Lepisosteus oculatus: one gene and its partners. The protein of the gene in region 2 purifies or fractionates together with the protein of the main gene of each other region. This does not show direct contact. Links are inferred from orthologs where the notes say so. Each region holds a gene or a part of one and is shown on either strand. Other genes may lie near its edges. The genes, in order: ankrd54, lyn and plcg2.

Region 1 (7,441 bases), on a different chromosome or scaffold from region 2:
CCCCCTCAGACCCCCCGCTGCGCCTCCCCCTCAGACCCCCTGCTGCGCCTCCCGCTGCGCCTCCCCCTCAGACCCCCCGCTGCGCCTCCCCCTCAGACCCCCCACTGCGCCTCCCCCTCAGACCCCCCGCTGCGCCTCCCGCTGCGCCTCCCCCTCAGACCCCCCACTGCGCCTCCCGCTGCGCCTCCCCCTCAGACCCCCCACTGCGCCTCCCCCTCAGACCCCCCGCTGCGCCTCCCGCTGCGCCTCCCCCTCAGACCCCCCGCTGCGCCTCCCACTGCGCCTCCCCCTCAGACCCCCCACTGCGCCTCCCCCTCAGACGCCCCGCTGCGCCTCCCGCTGCGCCTCCCCCTCAGACCCCCCGCTGCGCCTCCCGCTGCGCCTCCCCCTCAGACCCCCCACTGCGCCTCCCCCTCAGACGCCCCGCTGCGCCTCCCGCTGCGCCTCCCCCTCAGACCCCCCACTGCGCCTCCCCCTCAGACGCCCCGCTGCGCCTCCCGCTGCGCCTCCCCCTCAGACCCCCCACTGCGCCTCCCCCTCAGACCCCCCGCTGCGCCTCCCGCTGCGCCTCCCCCTCAGACCCCCCGCTGCGCCTCCCGCTGCGCCTCCCCCTCAGACCCCCCACTGCGCCTCCCCCTCAGACGCCCCGCTGCGCCTCCCGCTGCGCCTCCCCCTCAAACCCCCCACTGCGCCTCCCCCTCAGACCCCCCACTGCGCCTCCCCCTCAGACGCCCCGCTGCGCCTCCCGCTGCGCCTCCCCCTCAGACCCCCCGCTGCGCCTCCCGCTGCGCCTCCCCCTCGGACCCCCCACTGCGCCTCCCCCTCAGACGCCCCGCTGCGCCTCCCGCTGCGCCTCCCCCTCAGACCCCCCACTGCGCCTCCCCCTCAGACGCCCCGCTGCGCCTCCCGCTGCGCCTCCCCCTCAGACCCCCCACTGCGCCTCCCCCTCAGACGCCCCGCTGCGCCTCCCGCTGCGCCTCCCCCTCAGACCCCCCAGACCCCCCACTGCGCCTCCCCCTCAGACCCCCCGCTGCGCCTCCCGCTGCGCCTCCCCCTCAGACGCCCCGCTGCGCCTCCCCCTCGCTCACCGATGCCCTCGTTGCCGTTGCAGGAGGCGAAGTGCAGGGCGGTGCGGCCCTTGTCGTCCGCGGCGCAGGGGTCAGCGTCATCCTCCAGGAGGCGCCGCACTGCCGGCACACAGGCCCGCACGGAGAAAACATTACTACACACACACAGCACTACACAACACAGATCTACACTGTACACAACACACAACACACCACACAACACAGAGCTCCACAACCACAACACAGCACACTGCTGTACACACAGAACTACACTACACTGCAGACGGATACTAAGACTACAACACAGCACACAGGCCCACATGGAGAAAACATTACTACACAACACAGCACACACACATTACTACACAACACAGCACACAGGCCTGCACGGAGAAACATTAATACACAGCACACACACAGTACTACACAAAACAGCACACAACACACAGCACACAGACCCACATGGAGAAAACATTACAACACAGCAAACACACAGTACTACACAACACACCACACAAGACAGTACTACACAGCATACCACACACACAGTACTACACAACACAGATCTATACTGTACACAACACACAACACAGCACTACTACTACATAGCACTACACAACCACAACACAGTGTACAGTGGTGAGGTTGGGGTGGGGTACAGTGGTGAGGTCAGGGGTCAGGGGGTGAGGTTGGGGTGGGGTACAGTGGTGAGGTCAGGGGTCAGGGGGTGAGGTTTGGGTGGGGTACAGTGGTGAGGTCAGGGGTCAAGGGTGAGGTTTGGGTGGGGTACAGTGGTGAGGTCAGGGGTCAGGGGGTGAGCTTACCTGTGTCAATGTCATTGCTATTGGCTGCCTCTCTCAGCCTCTTCCCAGCTGAACACAGAGAGAGAGAATCAGAGGACACACTAACAGTACCCACACACAACCGACGCTCCTGACACAACCAACACTCCTGAATCCCCTGACACTAACACAACCGACACTCCTGACACAACCAACACTCCTGAATCCCCTGACACTAACACAACCGACACTCCTGACACAACCGACACTCCTGAATCCCCTGACACTAACACAACCGACACTCCTGACACAACCAACACTCCTGAATCCCGACTTTCACAACCGACAGCCCTGACACTAACACAACGGACAGTACTGACACAACAGAACGACACTCCTGACACTCACACAACCAACACAAGCGACTCTCCTGACACAACTGACACTACACAAGCTCTGCTGGGCACCCGACTTGACAGCGCTGACTCCACCAGCAGGGGGCGCTCTGCACTGTCCCGTAAGGTGACCAGGTGGGACACGACCCGTTACTCGGGCTGGTCTCTCGGTCACTCCTCCCTGGGCCTGAGAGCAGGGACTGACCCGCACGGCGGTCGGCCTGCGTCCCCGCGGGGAAAGGCGCTATACAGGCGGTGTGGGCCGCGCTGCTCTACGCTGCGGACAGCCCGCTAGGCGATACGAGCCAGAACCGGTACCGTGCGTCTCTCTCCCCAGCGGCGCGGCGCGCTGCGCTCTCCCGTGGCGCCTCAGGCGGCAGACTCCCAGCTTCCCGGGCCGGCGGGGGCTGCAGGGCTCGGGCTCGGCCCGGTTCGGATCCCAGAGCACGTGCAGGTACCGGAGTCCCGGGTCTGCGGCCGCACCGGCCCCGCCGAGCCGCACCCCGTCCCCCAGTCCGGCGAACCCGAACCCGGCCGCCTCCGCTCCGGACTCCCGATGCGGAGCCTCCGGCGGGACCACGTCCTCTCCATCCGAACTGGACCGCTCTTCGTCCGAAGCCACCACCGGGCTCCAGCCCTCCATTCCGAACCTTCTTGTGCGTGTTGTATTGCAAACTCTTGGTTTATTTACAAAAACACCGTGTCTGAAATCAGAACGCCATATCAGTCACTGCAAAGCATAACAAAACCACCAAGTTTGAAACTGCAGCCCCTGAGTCCACCATTTTGGCTCCGTACCCCTACTCTACAGAACGTGGAGAACTCTATTGTGCAGAGCCAAGATGGCACCTGTTTCACCGCTGTGGCGCTGTTTCATGTACGCATGCGTGTGAGGAAAGTGCGCCCACCCATTGTTTCTATTCCCGGAAGTGACTTGATTGATTCCTGTGAAGACCAATCAGAGAACGTCATTTGCACCCGCTCCGCCAATGAACACACTGGAGAGGTGGGACGTGGGGGGACTTTATTATTAATTCTTATTATTATTATAATAATTGCTTATACTTATATAGCACTTTTCTGGACACTCCACTCAAAGCGCTTTACTGGTAATGGGGATCCCCTCCACCACGGCAGCCATAGTGCACCAGATCACTCACCACACACCAGCTCTCAGTGGGGAGGAGAGCAGAGTAATGAAGCCAGTTCATAGAGGAGGATTATTAGGAGGCCATGATTGGTAAGGGCCAATGGGAAATTTGGCCAGGACATCGGGGTTACACCCCTACTCTTTTTGAGAAACACCCTGGGATTTTTAATGACAACAGAGAGTCAGGACCTTGGTTCTACGTCTCATCCGAAGGACAGCGCCTGTTTACAGTATAGTGTCCCCGTCACTATACTGGGCCATTAGGACCCACACGGACCCCAGGGTGAGCGCCCCCTGCTGGCCCCACTGACACCTCTTCCAGCAGCAACCTTAGTTTTTCCCAGGAGGTCTCCCATCCAGGTACTGGCCAGGCTCACACCTGCTGAGCTCCAGTGGGCTGCCAGTGGTGAGCTGCAGGGTGACGTGGCTGCTGGCTTAAGCCGACGAGGACCAGTACAAGTAATTAGCTCTGTGAATTTAGTGCTGCGTTTGTGTTGTTTTCGGACCCGAGATACTGCGCCGTCTGCCGAGCTCATGCGTGTTACTGGTGCAAGACTAACAGTTCTGCAATCGTGTTCCTCTGTTTGCCCAGGTGGGGGGCGGCGCTGGAGTTTGCATGTAATACCAGCATTTTATGTGCGTCTGTGTGAACAGGAAGATTAAATTTCTCTCTAATATCCAACCCTTATCAGACGAGCTGATAAGGTGTAGGGTGTAGCCTGAAAAAGCGAACTTTAGCAAACAATCGTATATTCTAACAAGCACGTCTTAAAACTTCACAGCGGTGTCCTGTTTTAAAAATCAGAAGTGATCAATTTCTCACCGTCTCCTTCTTCAATAAACACGCGCACCAAGGGCCTTGTAAAGATTCGACCCGCCAGTCAAGCCACGTGTGCAAAAAGGCTTGAATTTGCAACTTTACGAACAACAAGACAGCTGTTGCTCTTTTTGTGCAAAGAACACTCGTCAACGTGAAGAATAACCAGGATGTTGTTAAGTGGCACTGTGTACAAGGGCGACACGGATAAGGTATTAGATCACTTTATTGACAATATACAATTTCTTGTAAGTGTGCTCAAGTGCGCTTTATCAGGCTACGGCCGCAGCGCTTCTGATAATATGGAAGCCCGTTTCCGCCAGGGAGTAAAAACAACGCGCTATGGTACCTCGCAATTGTGACTTTGTATCTCAGAATTACGACTTCGAAATGCCCACATTTCATTGTCTGTCCTTTCGCTGTTGTAACGGATTCGGGTTCAAGGGCTTGTGCCCTCGCCGCTCCCACCCTAGTTCGTGCCTCACTGCATGGGCTCGAACCCAGGTCTTGCCAGCTGAGCTAAAGAAGGTCATTTGTTTGCTTTAGCTAATTAATCCCAGGAGCTCAGCCAGCTGTGTCTGGAGAGAAGCCAGGGTATGGGCTGCACCTACGTGCTGAGCAGCTTGTTCCCCCCTCCCACCCCTCTCTGTGTACAGTAGAGCCTCCTGTCCTGGCTGCAGGAGCTTATCCAACTGTGTCTGGAGAGAATATGTTCCCCTCTCCCACCACTCTCTGTGTACAGTAGGGCCTCCTGTCCTGACTGGAGGAGCTCATCCAGCTGTGTCTGGATAGAAGCCAGGGTATCGGCTTCAACAACATGGCTGGGCAGCTTGTTCCCCCCTCCAACCCCTCTCTGTGTACAGTAGAGCCTCCTGTCCTGGCTGCAGGAGTTCACCCAGTTGTGTCTCCCACCCCTCTCTGTGTACAGTAGAGCCTCCTCCTCTCAGTTTTTCCTGCTCTTCCTCCAGTTGTTACTTGTGCCCGCTGTATCGGTGTATGTGTGTTCATTTTGAGAAATCGTGGGACCCAGTTCCTCCAGCCTGCCCGTCTCTGCTCGCTGTTCTCTTTACACTCGGCTTGTACACGATGTTCCCAGTGCACACTGGACAGCTCCAAAGGCAGCACCTCCGGAGCTCAGTTGCAGGGGGTTCATGTTCCGCCCTGATATTCTCTGTGCGTTTAGCGAGTGTGCTCTGCTTCTGTCTTCAGTACCAGCGGGGCGGGGTCACTCCGGGGTTAACAGGTTTAAAGCCCCGGGCCGGTGTTCTTGTCGGGAATCTGCTCCTGATCTATAGGCTGTGGGCTGCTGCCCACCGCGAGGTGGCGCACACTGCTGCCACTCTCCACTCGCTGTCCCGCGTTCTCGTCTCCAACAGCTGATGCTGTGGTGTGTTACGTGGGGAATCGCGCAGGCAAGGATTTCACTGGGCTCCGGTCGGCGTGACGATAAACACGAAGCCTGAAATGTCGGTCTGTCCTGAGTGTTGTGTTTCAGCCACCCAGCCACGCGGCACCAGCCCCCACGTCCCGGGAAGGAGGGCCAGCTGTGGTGGGCTTCTCTGTGCGCCCCTCGGACAGAGGCTCCCCAAACCGTAACGAGCTCAGCAGAAAGACGAGAGATGAGCTCAGACCACCAGGTATATTCCCATTTCTCTCTTTGAGAATATTCAGATTTGAAGTAAATACTCTTACATTCATATTGTTGAAATAACTACGTGCAGTAATTTAATATTTTACAGTAATGTCCATTTCGTTGATTAAAGAAGTCTGTCAGTATATGTACGAGATGATACATATACTGTATATATATAGTTCAGGTGGGTAGCTGCGTCAAAAAAGACCCTACCACTGACTACCAAAAGGAAGTGGTATCCACCATTTCCCTTCTTATCAGCAGTAACGAGCTCCCCCAGGAGGCGAACCGGCTCATCATGGAACATCCACAGGTATCTCAATTTTACCTCCTCCCCAAAATCCACAAACCGGACACCCCTGGACGCCCCATCGTATCAGCATGTAACTGTCCAACTACTTACATCTCAGCCTTTCTCGACAGCCTCATGAGACCGCTGGTTGAAGATCTTCCCTCATACATCAAAGACACCAACCACGCGCTCCAACTTTTCAATGATTTCCAATTTCAGGGTACCGAATGCCACATTTTTACCATGGACATCACATCTCTGTACACCGTCATTCCCCATAATGACGGCCTTACAGCACTCAAGCACACGCTGGACAAACGCACAGTGCTTGATCCACCCACCCACACCCTGGTACGCCTTGCAGAATTGGTCCTCACACTGAACGCATTCTCTTTCAATAATCTTTTTTACCAACAGGTCAGTGGAGTTGCCATGGGCACCAGAATGGGACCCAGCTATGCCAACATTTTTGTCGGCTGGGTAGAAGAACGCTTCTTCGCCTCCTACACTGGCTATGTCCCTGACCTCTACAAACGATATATTGATGATTGCGTCGGTGCCGCCACATGCTCCAACGATCAGCTCGAGTTCTTCCTGCACCATTTCACCAACTTCCACCCGTCCCTCAAATATACAGTTCACATATCTTCCACCACTCTTCCGTTTCTAGACATCCACTTGTCTATCAACTACCCCCGACTTTCCACTTCAGTTTATTACAAACCCACGGATTCACACAGCTACCTCCTGTACAGCTCATTTCACCCCAACCACACTAAAAACTCTCTTCCTTTTTCACAGTTCCTTAGGTTACGAAGACTATGCAGCGACGACATCGACTTCGAGAACCAAGCCCTCGAAATGTACTCATTTTTTATCAACAGAGGATACCCCAGCAGTGTGATTGACAGGGCCCTTGCCCGAGCCAAAAACACCCCCCGGACCATCAACCCGATCAGGAACTCCCGCCGTAACAACCGCATTCCCTTGGTGCTTCCTTACCACCCTAACACACTTCCTATCCCCAGGACCATTAACCAGAATTTTTCCATCCTACAGGATGATCCCTCCATTGGGGCCCTCTTTTCTGATCGCCCTATCATCTCATATCGCCGACCACCTAATCTGCGTAACCTCCTTGTTCACAGCTCCCTTGACCGCCCTCAACAACCATCCACACCAGGCACTTTCCCTTGCAACAGAGCTCGCTGTATCACCTGCAAGTACACAGCCACCACCACACTCATTCAAGGCCCCTCAGGACAATTCCGGATCACCCAGACAGCATCTTGTACCTCCAGCAAC
Region 2 (8,102 bases):
AGATGCCTACAAGTATTTTGAGAAATGTTACCAGTGTTCTTGATGAATTGTAAATATTAAACCTGTTCTGTTAAGTGCTTCAGAAGCGTTTAATATTGAAACTATCATGTATTTGTTGTGTAAAGTACCTTTTCTATAAAAGTGAATCAGTAATGCTCATGCTATATCCCATTATTGTTTTTTTTATTTTAAAGATTATTGGATTTTTGAACCCATATTCATGTACAGTATATGGTAACAAAGCTTGAATTATACTGTTGGCAGTGTTATATTTTTTTTTAGGCATATCGATCAAAGTTCCTATTAAAACATTATATTCCATAACTATTTTTGTAGATTTTCTTAATACTAGTAGTTTGTTCACTGGTGGAGTATATTTCAGTTGTCAGATGTTAACAGCTAGATTTGTTGCTACACAAAATGTTTTCATTGTACAATTTAAGGATGTGAGTTTTTGTGACTTTGGAAAAAGCACTAAGTTGGCAAAGACAAGCTTTTTCACATGTCTTTTATAAACGGATCAAAGAGACGGAAGAAAAAAAGTTATTTTTTGGGGTGTGTATAAATGTAGCACCAGAAATGGCCAACACGTTATTCCATGTTTTTAAAAAGGACTATTTCATTTTTTAGTTTTTTTTTTCCATTTGATAAAAAATCTTACATATTCAAAAACAGAAGTGTCTTAAGAATAAGCTATTGGATTCTTTTTAATTGGTTTTATTTTAAGGATCTCATCACCACTGTAAGTTTTCTACTTAAAGCAGGAGAGATGGCACAGTGGAGGAACATGAGAAACTTGGCGTTAGCACAGGCTGTGTGTGTAATATCTTCATGTTGTTTGGCAGTCCACCAGAGCTGTACGCCATTCGCAGTCATGGACATTAAGGACAGAAGCCACGTGCTACAAAGTGGATGCTTTGTGTGGATGTAGTTAGCGTGCATTGATTTTTCAACATTGTGCTTCGATGTTGCCACCTTTGTTATTTATAATCTTACCGTTTCAAATCAGCCTTTAAAGACTGAAGATTTAAGCACCTTTTTCAGGAGCATCAAGCCTGCATATTACAATGACTATTCTACTGCCAATGATGTTGTTTATTCTGGATTTGACAGGTATTATAAACCCTGCCTGACAGCAAAGAAATACAATTTCAGTGTCAGTGTCCTATCACTGGGCTTTGACTGTCAGCTCTGTGCCACCGCATAACTTGCTTGGTGTAGACGTCTGCCATCTGTAGATGTTGTACACCATTGGCTTTGCTAGCTGCCTCCACCTTCCTGCTTACTCTGTTTTTAACGTGTGTATCCAGGTTACCAAACCAGGTCGCTACAGTGAAGGTGACAACAGATTTAGTAAACATTCTGTAGAATAATGTCATTGCTGTCGTACAACTCGTTAAAAGAGCGGAGTTAAGTCAGGAAAAGCAAATGCCGTTGGTTCTTCTTACATACAGCATCCGTGTTTTCCTCAAATGTTAGTTTGTCGATGAATGTCTGACCCCCGTCTGTCTTCCAGATCCACTTTCCACCCAATCTCTGTGTGCATTGTTTTCAGACCAGTACAGGGCATAGTGCAGGCAGCCTGTTTCCTCCTCATTCCCAGCTGTTTTTCACTCTAGTCAGGGAAAGCTTCATCAAGATCGTTACTTTCTCTTCAACATGGCATAGGCTGTCAGTGGAGGCATTTAGTATTTATCATATATTTCTGGTTGCAGGTGCCATGGAGGTGGAGTGGTTAGAGTTAGTGAGTGCAGCTGAACGTACCCAATGAAGAAAAGAGAGAGGGAAGAGCAGGAGGAATTAGGAAGACTGCAAGAGACCGATGTTTAAAAGATAAGATAGGATCCCAGAGGAGATAAACCACATAAACATACACTGGTGGGCTGGCACGTGTCACACTGTGCACATTTTCTGTGCTTAGGAATGGAAAATCCATGAATGGTTTTCATGAAGGATAGAACTAGACCCCCATGTCCAGCTGGATATAGATGGTTCCATTTCTAAATAGTTTGCCTGCCTGGCAAAACAGGCTTTATTTTCTGACAGCCACATACTGTAACAGTCTTATTTATAACTTTCGTTTTGTAATTTGCAATACGTCCATCCAGAATTAGGAAGTCCGCACTTGTAATGGAAATTGTTGCTCATATGTAAATGAGATTTGCAACAGTTCACTAACATTACAACATAAGTGCATTGATGTCTTTCTTCTTTTCTATGCTGAAAAGCAGAAAGAAGATGCACAACTTTTCAGCTGTGGAGCCTTCACACCTAAAGAAGGCTCCACAGCCAAAACATCATGTTTCTTCTTTCTGCTTTTAACTGTTCATGTATATCATGTTATATCTGTTATAAACACTAGTTTTATTGAAACAGACCTTCATCAATCTGATCAACAACAAATACAAGAATGCAAGATGCGCAATAAGGCTAGACAACGTGCTGCTGATAACATTGCACGGATGACTTTGACCAGGTAACTGCTGATCAATCAGCTGATCGCAGGTGGTGTTTTTCAGATATTTGTGTCTTTTGAACCCCTCACTGCCTTTGTTTAGCACACAGTAAGTTGTTTGATCAATGGCACAGTTTGGGAAATCTGCTCAGGCATATCAGCAGAAGATATCTGGTCTCAGTTGAGCTTGTATGTTGTGTTTAATTGTATGGAACAAGCAACAAAAGAATTATTGTAAGGTGTCGGATAGGAATAACTACATATCCTGTTTTGCAACAAGCAGCAGAGCTCATGTTTGGCAGAGAGTCCAAGGCAAGTGTTCATACATGGCAAGGACATCTGTGTCCAAAACGTCCTAGCCTCAGGGAAGCATGGGCAGGTGAATGGAAGAAGCTGAATTCTACAACCCAGGCACTTCTACAAGCAGTGCCTTCTGCTAAAGACTTGTCAGCACAGCCCTGAGAAGAAGTGGCTGTGAAATTGGATAGAGAGCATGCATGGCCAATCATAGCTTCTACACTGGGCCAGAGTAACACTCCGAGAACTTATCCTATCCAGTAAAGTACATCTGCTGGAACAGACAACATCTGAGGTCTCTTAAGCAAATGAGGAAGTGATGTGATAGAAGAATCATCGGCTGCCACTTCTGTCACTGATTGATCAGGGTCTAAGCAGTCATAGAACCCCCTGTAAGCCACATCAAGAGCCTGAATCATGAGAAAGCCACTGTGTTAAAGAGAATATGAACCCAAGTGATTAACACATAGCTATATACAAGAGGCTAAAAATCCCTCAGCTGCTACGTACAGTAGGTTATCCAGTAGGATTTTTCACTGAAATTAATAATTAAAGTTACAAGTAAAGGTTAGTTCCATTCTTAAATAGAAGAGACAAGATTTTGACTGTAGAGCTGTCTTCTAGTGTGAGGAAGAGAGAAGACGGGTAGAAAGGATATAAAGCACAGGTGAACAAAAGGAAGGAGCAAATGAAAAAAATGCACAGAGCAGGTGAGGAAAAGTGTCCAAACAAACAGAGATCCGGGGGAGAGGTGACAAAATTGGAATGGATATGGCTCAAAAAGAAATCCGTCTATCATTAAAGGGGGTAGGAAGACATCCAAATTTAAGGAAAATCTTGTTTGTTTGTTTGTTTTTCCTGAAGCAGTAGTATTGAAACCCCTGTAAAAGGATACAGACAAAACGGTCAGTGAAATCATGGCCAGGACAGGTGAAATGGAGAACTATTTGGGTGGAGAGATTTTTCATCCTTACAACTCTGATGTGCTCCCTGAAACGGTTAGCAAGTTTTCTTCTTGTCTCACCGATGTAAGAGAAGCAAGAGATGCAGTAAATGAGATTACTAGATACATTTCTGAGTGATTTTGAAATGTATGGTACTGGACACACGCATATGCTGGTGATTCAACAGCTTCTGTTACAGCAAAAAAAAAAAAGGTGCCTGGTGTGGATGGTAACGGATAAATCAATATTTAAAAACGTTGTTGCTTGTTTGTTCCATACAGTGTCTGTTAATTTATTTTTAGAATTATAACTCCATCGCCTTCGCTCTCACTCCAGGAGACTCATATTACATAGAGCGCCTTCAACGTTTTTAATAAAGTAACTAAGCAAAACAGGCGGTTCGAGTTTTGTTACTCACTTCGTTAATTACCAGATTCTTGAGTTGTGTGGCAATAAATCTGAGCAGACCAGCTGACCTCTCGTCTTCGTAAGGGTTTTGTAAGGGAAGAACATATACAGTAGTTGCTTTTATGGCCTTTGGCCATTATGAGTACGTTTTCCGATTTGCGCTTTTGTTTACTCTATTTATTATATTGATTGTTCAGCTTACTTATACCTAATATAAATTTGCAGAAAAGCAAATAACAGTTTGCTGCAGCATTCCGAAAAAATAAATTAATGGGTATTTTTATAAAAAAATATCCTTTGAATTTTGGACATAAAAGCATAACACGTGTTTCCTAATTTATATAATTTATAATAGGTATTTGAATTTCCATCCATTTTACAATCCATACAAAATCCATCTAAAACCTCTCAATGCGGTATCAATATTATATCACTACAGATATGCGCCACTGGGAGAAGAAACATGAGTTTTTGTCTGATTTTGTAGAAGTCAAATTCGTGGATTTGTTGTAGCATTAAAAAAACTATTTCGTTACTTTCAGAGAGCAACGCTTTGTAATCGGTCACAGAATCCTTTTACAAATAGTATTAATAACTTGCTCCTCTAAAAAAAAAGTGCATTAATTCCTGAAATGCTTTTTTAATGGTTGGCACTTGCAACTCCAGTATTCTTGCTTTCCCCAGAAATTTTGCTTGTGTTCAAGATAACATAAAGGTCTCCAGAGACCGGACATTTGAAGAGCGCAGGGGTATTATGCAAATAAATGCTAAACATACTGAACATTGTACCAGGAAGTTGCACTAAAAACTCCCAAACCAATTCTGAAAACCAAGTTCCTCATTCTGTGTGCTAGATGTTAACAGCAGAAATTAAAACTGGACTTCATTTTTCAGAAGAATAAATGTGTAAACAGTACGCGTGAAATTCGAAAAATAGTTGATCTGCGACAATTTAAAGGCGCCAATTACTGGACAGAACAAGGATCTATAATTTACAAAAGTAAGTCAATTATTTTGTTATAGTCCTAAACAGTTACTAGTATACTAAGTTTGGTGGTAACACCATTCTGTACTCAATTCTTGACATTAAAAAAAAGATATTTTCTTTCAATAATAGTACCTGAAATTAAGGTGGTAAGAGTTCTATTTGATACAGTTTTTTAAAAACGTTACTTCGGTTCAGCTGTTTGTTTTCCCGTTGGTTTTTACAGTCTATTAATAAAGACAGTATTTGCATCATCTCCATAATCATTATCATCTTTCATGGAAATATTATGCTCCATATCTTCAAAGCACTGTACGTGTAAAGTACATTCTTTTACCGTCTTTTAATAACACAACAGTTTCTAAACCCAAGTAAAATGCAATAAACGTCTTCTAGGAGCAGAGTGTGTTTTATCTGACTTAATGTACAGTCCGTGAATAAGCACTGAAGTAGAGGGCTGTCTTGAAACCATTTGTAGGTGTCGATGTGTGTGCCTCCCAACACGTATGTTTCTAGATATGTTAGCAGAATAAGATTGTATTTCTATGACTGTGCAAAGTGCTTCAGATTTTTAATATCATGGGTTTCTCTATGTAACAAACATCGTATGATTTTTTTTAAAACAACAAAATATAGCGAATTCTGGGCAATGTTAATATTTTAGAAACTCTTCTTTTGTTAATTTTTAAGTTCACGTTTTATTGTTTTACTTTGTTATGGGGTAAAGTAATGTTAGAGATGTACTTTAATAAATGCTGGCTAAACTAAAACACAAATAGTATAATTTTTGTGTCATACTTGTTGTGTATTTAAGGAAAGATACCATAGCTTTCAGGATTTTCAGGATAGGTAGCTTAAGCAAACCAAACATTACAGTTTTTAACATTTTGTTTAACTGGTTCATAAAGCAAAAACAATACAGAACACACAACAACATCTAGAAATCTATCCATAAATTATTTAGGTTTGATACTATAACAGTAAAAAGTCAACTTGTTCACATTAATATCAATCATTTCAGCAGACTCATTATACACCTGGAATCTTCAGGTGTATAATTTGAAGAAGAGGTGTCTGGAAGTACTGAGATTTTAACTTCAAGACACTGGAACAAAGTGTGTTTATTAGGAATATTTGTATTCCTAATAATGATGTTATTCAATACTAGTTTGCTATAAAATGTAAAGAAAAAAGATGTCATGAAAAACTGAATGTCATTGAAATTTTGGTTGTTTTTTATTCATGCCATCATGAATTATTTACAAGCATGCAGAATTATACTTTTATTAAAAATATCTTGTGGACTTTATCAGCAAAGTTGTTTTTAAATATGTCATGTATTATATTTCTGTAAATGTTTTAGTATGTAGCTTATTATTTGCCTTTCAACAATGGAGAGTAGCTTATAACCCCTAATGCAAAACCCACATACTTCACAGGAAATGCAAGAAAACAGGTGGTCATGTGTTTTAGACACGCATTGCCCAGAGATGGTTTTCAACACTTTTAGCTTGGTATCTTTTCTAAACCACATTGACTTTTCTATACAATAGTATTGTATAATAAATGTTTGTGCTGTCTGATAGTTTAACACTAGTTCAGTACTTTCATAAGCATCACTTCCACAGATAAGATAAAGAATGAGTCCTGTTTGTAGTTTGTGCTGCTGAATACCTTGCTGAAGTATGGAAGCAATGCCTACATATACAATGTATTCTATATCAATATACCATCAATTTACCTTATCTACCTGTATCTTGTTTTGTTGAAATCTTTTTGTACAGACGCTTCATGTCATACTACTTTATGTGTTGTAGTAGCAGGGGTCGTTCTTCGAACGAGTCTTAATTTGTTGGTTTGGCAGGATTATCATTTTCAGACTGAGCAGGTTGTCCTCTGCCGTGGGGCTGCAGTAATGTTTTGCGCTTTAGCTTTGACTTTGTGTGTTTTGAACATAGTATAAGACATAAGAGGATGTCTTAAACAATCAGCACAATTTGTGGCTCACTTACTGCACATACAGTACAGTATTACACTAATGCAGATAGCAGTAAAACCTTACAATTTGGTTCTGTGTCCATTTTATTTAACTATAAGCCACATAAATCAAAATCAGACAGTTTAAGAGTGGAGGTACCAATCACCCTCTGTAGTGCCAAGTTTATAAATGCTGAGTTTGATGATTTGCAAGGTCCGAAACAGCTAATGTGTGTCAAATGGAGAATTTCCTTTTTGCAAGAAGAACTGTGCCGTTGTGACATTTGTGAGGTGTGCTCATTTGTTTAAAACATACATTAAAATGTCCAAACAAGTTGAATGTCATCTGGCATTGTTCCTTGAAAATGCTTGCTAAAATGCCATTAAGAATAGGGATTAGCATTTGAAAAGAGACAAAACGTGTTGATGATGGTATTAGCTCTCAGGTGGTTATCTACATAAGCTTTTATTTTATTGGACATTAAACAGCATGTTATCTACTGTATGTAGTAAGACCCTGCTCACTATCTGAATCAGCAGTCTTCCCCTGACATGTCAGAGTTGTTGCACAAATGGCCCAGCTCAGAGGAGGAAATACAGCACATCAATTGCAGAAGGGTTACCATGATAATCTGACCATAGCACCCTGCCTGTTTCCTGGCTCTCATCTAAAAATACAGTGACGTCTCAGCTCCAGCATTTCTCAATCTAAAGTCCAGCTCTTTCAGTGGTTTCATCGTCTCTTGAACAGCTTTGTTTAGAAACTATGAGGTCTATTTTCTTCGACGCTTTTTATTGTTCTTTCTGATGTGACAGTTTATTTGGGTTCCTACAATTATTTTTTTTTTAAAACGTTGAGCATTTCTCTTTGGTCTCAAATGAAATTTGAGAGAATTAATATGTGTTTGCACAGATTTTGTGGGCTTTTTTGACCACTTTTTAATAACTGTAGTAATGTCCAGTATTGTAACTTTCTATAAAAAATGTCCATAAATGCTCCTTTTGGGGGAATGCTTAATAAATTTTACAGTGAGAG
Region 3 (7,207 bases), on a different chromosome or scaffold from region 2:
TAAAAGGAAAGAGTGATTAGGCAAGTTAACAGAGGGGCCACAGTTAAAGGCAGCATCCTTTTGTGGTACAGAGAAAAAAAGATGTCGGACAGTTTGTCTGCTGTGTGACCTGGATTCTGTCTGACATGCTAAGTATATTTTTTTAATCTAGAGAAAAAAAAAGGTAACAACAAAAAAAGATGACAAGCAGAACTCAGTTTGCCTTGAAGGCAAATACTTGCAGTTAGCTCTGTGATGAAACTCTGTTTGTTTGTTTTTTTGCTGCCACAAAATGTGGTGCAAAACCCAATCCTGCCAAGTAAGTGGTTCTGTGGTTTGGTTGCCTGAGCAATCTGCAGGTTTCAGGACAGAGCCTTTGAAGTTTTGCGTGCCAGTCAGTCATCTCTGTGCCCTTACAAGGGTCAGATCGGCGCAGTGCAGCCTCTGTGCTGAAACAGGAAGCAGACCAGAGCAGCCTTTACTGACAATCAGCACGGTTTTGGTGTCTTTCTCTGGAAGGAAGCCGAGACATTTATTTTGAGCGTTTGAAAACGGTCTGCACCATTTTGATAGAACAAACACTGGCATACCAAGTTGTTTCAAAGGAAACACAAGCTCCCAGCAGATAATGTTAAAATGCTCTGAAAATGAATGCTAACTAATAAGGGTTTCACAGTAATTCAGGATCACAATCTGAACTTGTGCAAGTTAGGCTCTGATGAGAGCACACTTGCTACAGTAGGTCACAAAGAGCCAGAGCTGGGGTGTAAATGAGAGCACAAGGTTCTGGAAGGAAGCTGGGAAGTCCAGTGTTTCCAGTGGTAAAGGAGGGGATTGTGGGATTATCAATCAATGAAGAAGAGAAGTTACACAGTCAAGCAGTTGCCTCTAGTCAAGTACAAGATTCAGTTGAATAAAAGATTTAATCTAATTAAAACTTAAGGATTTTTCATCATCATCATACCTTTTGTATGGCTGCATGAGGTAGGTATGATGTCAGGAAACCAATTTAGAACAGACCCTAACATCTGGGCCTATTACTTCCTACTGTCCTATGCACAGATGTCTGAATAACACACACAGCTAGATGCTTTTGCAACAAGGTGATTGTGTTAAGCAGTCTTGAAGTGGGCCTACAGTACAGGAAAATCAACATCCTGTGTAAGCCTTTTACTACCATGGAGACTGTGTATTTGGCTCTATCCTCACAGGTTCTCTTCACTTTTGGGCACAAAAAAAAACAGCCCATCTTCCATGGCGGTTTAAATATTTTACACTCGGAGACGAGCTTTGGTGTGAAGATAATGCTATTATGTTACTGTTGTTCGTAATAGCTATTGACACAGCAGGTTCCCAATCTCGTCCCGGAGGCCCACAAGTTTGCCGCTGGCTCCAGCCCCTAGGTGGACTTAGTCAGGCGACCAGCCGGGGAGCGGCCCCGGTGGAGCGCAGATTGCGCGAGGCATTTAGCCGCCCGGCTGAACTCACAGGTCGTGCTATTACGTCATTTCTCATACCGTCGGATGTACCTCTGCAGATGTGTAGGGTTTTAAATAGCTCTTTTTTTTCACTTCATGAAAAAGAACGGCACACGCACAGAGCCACAGACTCTCACAGACGTAACACACTTCCTATCCAGCCCATTCGACGTGATTTTCTTACCATATAGGGCTCGAATTTGAAAAGGAAGCAACACGAAGGTAGATGGTTGGAGGAGAAATATATCCACGACTGTGAAAACCACATGTCTCAGCCTGCTCTGCGACGGAGACAGAGAGACTGACGCGTACAGAGCGTGTCAAAACGCCTTTTATGGCTGGTTTGACTTTTGCCCCCTTTGAAAAAAAAATGCAGAACTAAAACCTTTATTGCTACAGAATCGGTAGCTTTCAAGTGAACTTGTCTTGCGCGGAATGCACAGATCGGGGAATGAGCAGAAGCCGCAGTTACAGTAGCTCAATTAAAATGAACACCTCTGGAAAACCTTTTTTCACAGAACTTTGAGCACACAGTAGGAAGCTGGTGTTGCAAAATGCATCATTTGACTTTTTGGGCATTCAATTTTAAAATGAGGAGGGACGTTTCTGCTATATTCATATTTTTTATGCTAAGGATGACTTGAAACTGCGCTTCGTTTTAACATTTGCATTTGGCCTTGTATTTCAAAACTTCAGCTAACTGCAAAGCTGAGCTACAGCTACAGGGTGCTGGGCGTCCTTCACAACACCGAATATATTTTCTCAACTGGGTTATGAAAGCTTTAAAAATGATGAAATCATATTTGGATTTCAATATCCTGTTGTGTGAGGTAGGGATTTAAAATCCCCCTCATATAATTTTGCCTTGGGGGTTTTAGAAATTCAAGGGTAGGGTGTGTCCCGGCAAAAGAATCATGATTTCATTATGGTCTCATAACAAAAACTACGTATTATACCCTCTACCACAACGATATGATGGAATTTCCAAAATAGGAATGAGCAGAATAATAGGTTCGAAGATTTGTGTAACAGTATTAACGCCTCTGAGCCAGACCTGCTACACTTATCGGTTTTTCACATTTTCACAGCAACAGAAACTCATCTCTTGCATTCTTTGAAAATTCAGTCAATTCAGAATGGGTGAGGAAGACAGACGACGTAAATTGGCAGAACATAAAATATTTTTGAGCATCACCAGGAAAGCCCAGCTCTGTAAACTACCCATATCACCCAACTTAGTCAATCCTGGTTTCAGTCGGAGGACAGTGAGGTATGCTAAATCAGTATGCTACTGTAACCATTCATACTAGATCCCACAGTTTACAAAAGAGATTAACGACCAGAATTTCTCCAGAATAAGAGTTATGCGCTCGTTACCAAAGTTACCAAAGGCTACTGTAGGTTTGCACAAACCGGAAAGCTACAGGTACACCGTACGGACAAGTGTAGAGAAATGAAAGCTTGTGAAAAAGGGCTCTCAAATATGAGAAAACATCTGCCTAATCTGGAAGCAAGGAGCACGTAGCAAGGTAGATTACTCTCTGTGAGCTAGATAGGTACACGCTTTAGCAGTCCAATATATGAGAGGTATACGGCTTGTACAGCCTTTACCGTTGCGCTATCTTCTCTTTTGAAAGCATGGTGTTTTAATTAGCCACCAGAGGAGAAGTTCCTCTTTATTACGGACTGCTTGCCAAAAGCATCAGCAGTGCCATTTTGATGTTGTGATCATCTGTTTTGAAGGACTGTAGAATTGAAATTGAAGTGGGGTAGCTGATAAATGAAAATTGTTTGATGCAATCGTGACTGGGCTTTGAAATTTGCATTTGTGAGTGTGCATGACAGACAAAAACAATGTTATCTGATATTGAAAAAAGTTGAAGCAAGACGTCTGCGCACAACAGGTTAGGTGGATACACACCCACTACACTGAGAGAAAATCTTTATGTCCTTAAAAGGATTTAATCTTCTAGCAGATCCCTTGCTATGTAAGTAACAGTAATAAGTAAACTTGCGCCCCCTTGTGCCAGCGTAATCCTAAAAACGTAATATTCTCTGTATTCACTTTATGTGAAAATATGCTTGAACTTAAGTGCGTAACTAGTGTTTTTTTCCAAAAGAAGAGAAAGTTTTAAGGCACTCTTGAGAGTACTTTAAAATATTTGAAAGCAGGGACATATCTCCGAATTTAATTTGATAGCTGGTAAATCCACTGTATCCTTATTTAAAAAAAACATCAAAGGCGGCAATAAGAGATGACCAATTAATTTTATGAGGGTGCTTACATTAGCCTTACAGCAATATTATTCTGCATGATAAGATGTTACAAATGGAATTGTGTTATTTGTTTTAGCCCGAAGCAATCTACATACAGGGCGGTGTTCCCTGTCACCATAGTGAGATATTAGTTTGGAAGATGCCGGACCTGGTCCCGGGGGGTCCGTGTGTCTGCTTTCTAAATCTCTTTAAAGCACTAGCAGCTGAAATTACTAACTTAACCCGATTAAACCTATTACTAGCTCGCTTAATGTTGTTCATAACCCGTAAAATAAGCACGTTACACTCTCCTTGGATCCCATTGGATACTTCTTTATTTCTGTCCCGCCCAATGTGTATTTTACGAGTATGCTATTGGACAACTTTTCTGTCATTATGGGCACTGTAAGAGGAAGTTCCGGGTCATGTGACTTAACCTGTTTCCTTGGGTTTGGACGTGATGAAAATAACAATTAGTTTAGCCCAAAGAGGTGTTTTCTTATAGTACGGTTCAGTTTTAAATGGGTGCTTGCTGGAGTCTGAGTACTGAAGGTGCTCGTGTTGTCCGAAAATGAGTAAACACAAGTGTGGTTTTGCTCTGTTGTTTATACGTTGAATGCAGTTAACTGGACTTCGTTTGCTCAGGGTAATGATGTATCTTACTGTTGAGTTTAGAATATTTTGCAAATATATTAATTTTAAGGCTTTTCTTTTCTAAGAATCTAATCTGAGAGAATCTAAGAGAAACGTTGTTCTTAACGTTTCAGACCAGTGTAGCTGAGGTATTGAAGCCTCATTCACAAAGTAAAAACAAACTGCTATTAGACATGATATCATAGCTCTATATGTTTAAATCTTTACATATGAAATGTTATTAAAATTAACGAGACCCAATAAAACGCAAGTTTTATCGGACAGCAATTTTGATAAGAAGTGCAGTTTAAATCTCTTTTGATTTACTCTTTTTAAACTCTGGAGGTCTTCCTTTTCCTGGAAGAGTAAAAATCGCCCGGATTATGGCTAATGGCAGTCCCAAGAAAAAGCAACAGGATCAAAGCATCAGTCGATACATACAGGAGGAAAGGGAAAGTGAAGGTTGCAGAATACTTCTCCTGACAGAACTAAAACGAGCCCCAATCCCATGTCTTGCTATAATCGCTATGTGTGATTGCGATTTGACCTGCATTGGAGAATGTAGTACTGTCTTTTTTTATCAGTAAACTCGGCTGGAGGTCCCAGCTTCAGAATTATGTGCTGTTTACGACGGATCACACTGCCGTCTATTGTCAGTGACGGACAGTTCCTAATTGTCAGCTAAAACAAAAACATGTTGTGGCCCCCTTCACTCGTAAAAGTCGCTAAAAATGAGTGTTGTTGTCTATATGTTAGTTTCTTGCTTTTATAAAGCGTTTTTCCTTCCAAAGTGATCCACCTGTGGGACTGCAGGGGGCGGGGGGGGACCCACTTCGTCCGCCCGCGAGGGCAGCCGGCTCCTGGGCGACGGGCGGCAGCCTTGTGCGCCAGCAGCCCGGCCGCACCCAAGTCGTTAAGACCAGACGAGGAGCGGGCTGGTGAGCGGTGCTTTGCGAGTGTTAACGTCTGCGTGTTGTCTTCAAGGAGAATGGGGAATTCCGAGAGCGTCTCCATCCAGCGGCTGTCCCGATTTCGCCCCGAGGAGCGGCCGGTGATCGAGGGGGCGTTTGACAAGCTGTTGGGCTCATGGGTGGCAGCCGCCGGGAAAGGGAGGCCTCTGCTGACCCTGGAAATTGTAAAGGCAAGGAGTAAGCCATTTGTTGTTGTTTTTTGTGTTAGCCCACCCGATTTGGAATCGCCAGTTGCGTGTTTATGACGTCTCGTCTGCAAACCCTGTGACCACACAAGGGGGAGAGAGAGGAAGTGTAGTCAGACTCCTCGCTCCCGTCTGCCTGCGATCCACTCGTTTCTCCGGATGTCCCAGGCAGCACAGCCCCAAAGGGAGAGCTCTGTGCTGATTGGAGGAGAAGCCTTTCCTTCACCGGCACCATCTCATGCCTGCAAGCTTCTGGAAGGCCACAGGGGGCGCTGTGACTCTGAGAGCCACAATCACCCTGGTCGATCAGTAGTCGGCTAGTGACATGATCCTGGCTAGATCCCATGGTCACACAGCTCCGCCAGTGGGCGAAGTCCCTTACTGGATGAGCTACTCAAGAGGCCCCAGAATAAGCCATTTATGATGGTTCTGATTCAAGGGTCTTCAGTCACCAGTCATGAGAAGTGCGCTAGACCCGAGATGGAGTTTAATAAGCAGGAGGTATTGCTGCACATTACTTAGTGACGGCTTAACACCTGTTTGCATTTGGAGAAACTGGTAGTGTCTATGTGTTCTCTTCTTTATCTTCAGGGCTGTCTGCAGGGCCTGGCTACAGACAACATGGCTGTTCGTGTCTACGATGGCATGCGTAACGTGGACCCCACGAGGAAGGCAGCGCCTCCTAGTGGTGCTGTCAGCAAAGAGCAGTTGGTGATCTTCCTCTCAGATATCTTACGAGGCACAGCTGAGGAGAAAGGTCCCGTCGTCCTGTCCATGATCTCTGGAGCTGGGAGAGGCACTGTGAAGGGTGGACAAGTCGGAGAGGTAGTAGGACTCTTAAATTCCTCATTTCCCTGAATCAGACTAGTTCCTGGAAATTGACCAGGGTGATAGACAATTTCCAAGTGTTAGAAGTGCTAGCGAGAGGATGCTGTAGTGGGAGGTGGCCACATGGTAAGTGTACTTGTAACTCACCATAAGCAGTGGATACACCTTGTTAATTATTTTCAGTTTTGATTTTTATTACTTGGATAACATAAGTTCCACCACATGCATATTTGTATTTAAGGTATAATGATATGATTTTTTGGGGTGGCACAGTGGTGCAATGGTTGGCATTACTGTCTCCCAGAGCTGGGGCCCTGGATTCTGTTCTGGACCTGGGGTGCTGTCTGTGTGGAATTGGTATGTTTTCTCCGTGTTTGCATGGTTTTCCTCTAGGTCCTCTAGGTTTCCTCCTACTGTCCAAAGATATACTGGTAGGTGAATTGGCTTCTGGGATAAGTAGGCCTAGCTGTGGGTGTGTGGGTGTTTGTGTGTGCCCTGTGATAGACTGGTGTCTCATCCAGGCTGTATCCTGACTTGTTCCCATTCCTTTTCGGGATAGGCTCCAGGTCCACCATTAAACTTTAAACTGGTAGAAAGGTGTTTCGTGTTGCATGTAGTCTATTAATTTGCTTTGCAGTTATTCTTAACAGTTTCAGGTGCAAAAATGTCCACACACTGTATCATTAAAATGTTAAGCCTTGTAGAAATCATTCTGTTGGAGTTGGAAGTACATTAATGCTGTCTTGGATCTGAAAGCTGGCTGCTGTCCAGGTTTTCTGTCTGTGAAGGCTTAACTTTCTGAATTGACTTGGGCTGTAATACATAAGAATGAAGTCTGTGGCTGCGTTCTTCCCTGCAGTACTGCAAGTTCAGAGCG

The links.
Region 1: the proteins of lyn (region 2) and ankrd54 purify together in Homo sapiens (affinity purification with mass spectrometry; 3 studies listed by BioGRID and IntAct, with this or other methods). This does not show direct contact. The link is inferred for Lepisosteus oculatus from reciprocal best matches to the Homo sapiens genes LYN and ANKRD54.
Region 3: the proteins of lyn (region 2) and plcg2 purify together in Homo sapiens (affinity purification with western blotting; 3 studies listed by BioGRID, with this or other methods). This does not show direct contact. The link is inferred for Lepisosteus oculatus from reciprocal best matches to the Homo sapiens genes LYN and PLCG2.

The regions. Positions count from the first base shown.
Region 1 is NC_090707.1:39,581,430-39,588,870, forward strand, and holds the start of ankrd54 (ankyrin repeat domain-containing protein 54), read right to left. Parts: upstream 3,032-7,441; 5' UTR 2,888-3,031; coding exon 2,563-2,887; intron 1,940-2,562; coding exon 1,892-1,939; intron 1,188-1,891; coding exon 1,089-1,187; intron 1-1,088. UniProt on the Homo sapiens protein: Plays an important role in regulating intracellular signaling events associated with erythroid terminal differentiation.
Region 2 is NC_090701.1:49,187,451-49,195,552, forward strand, and holds the start of lyn (tyrosine-protein kinase Lyn), read left to right. Parts: upstream 1-5,019; 5' UTR 5,020-5,104; intron 5,105-8,102. UniProt on the Homo sapiens protein: Non-receptor tyrosine-protein kinase that transmits signals from cell surface receptors and plays an important role in the regulation of innate and adaptive immune responses, hematopoiesis, responses to growth factors and cytokines, integrin signaling, but also responses to DNA damage and genotoxic agents.
Region 3 is NC_090715.1:12,894,273-12,901,479, forward strand, and holds the start of plcg2 (1-phosphatidylinositol 4,5-bisphosphate phosphodiesterase gamma-2), read left to right. Parts: upstream 1-4,114; 5' UTR 4,115-4,359; intron 4,360-4,383; exon of another isoform or gene 4,384-4,808; intron 4,809-5,330; exon of another isoform or gene 5,331-5,333; 5' UTR 5,334-5,334; coding exon 5,335-5,487; exon of another isoform or gene 5,488-5,494; intron 5,495-5,594; exon of another isoform or gene 5,595-5,922; coding exon of another isoform or gene 5,923-6,003; intron 6,004-6,093; coding exon 6,094-6,327; intron 6,328-7,207. UniProt on the Homo sapiens protein: The production of the second messenger molecules diacylglycerol (DAG) and inositol 1,4,5-trisphosphate (IP3) is mediated by activated phosphatidylinositol-specific phospholipase C enzymes. It is a crucial enzyme in transmembrane signaling.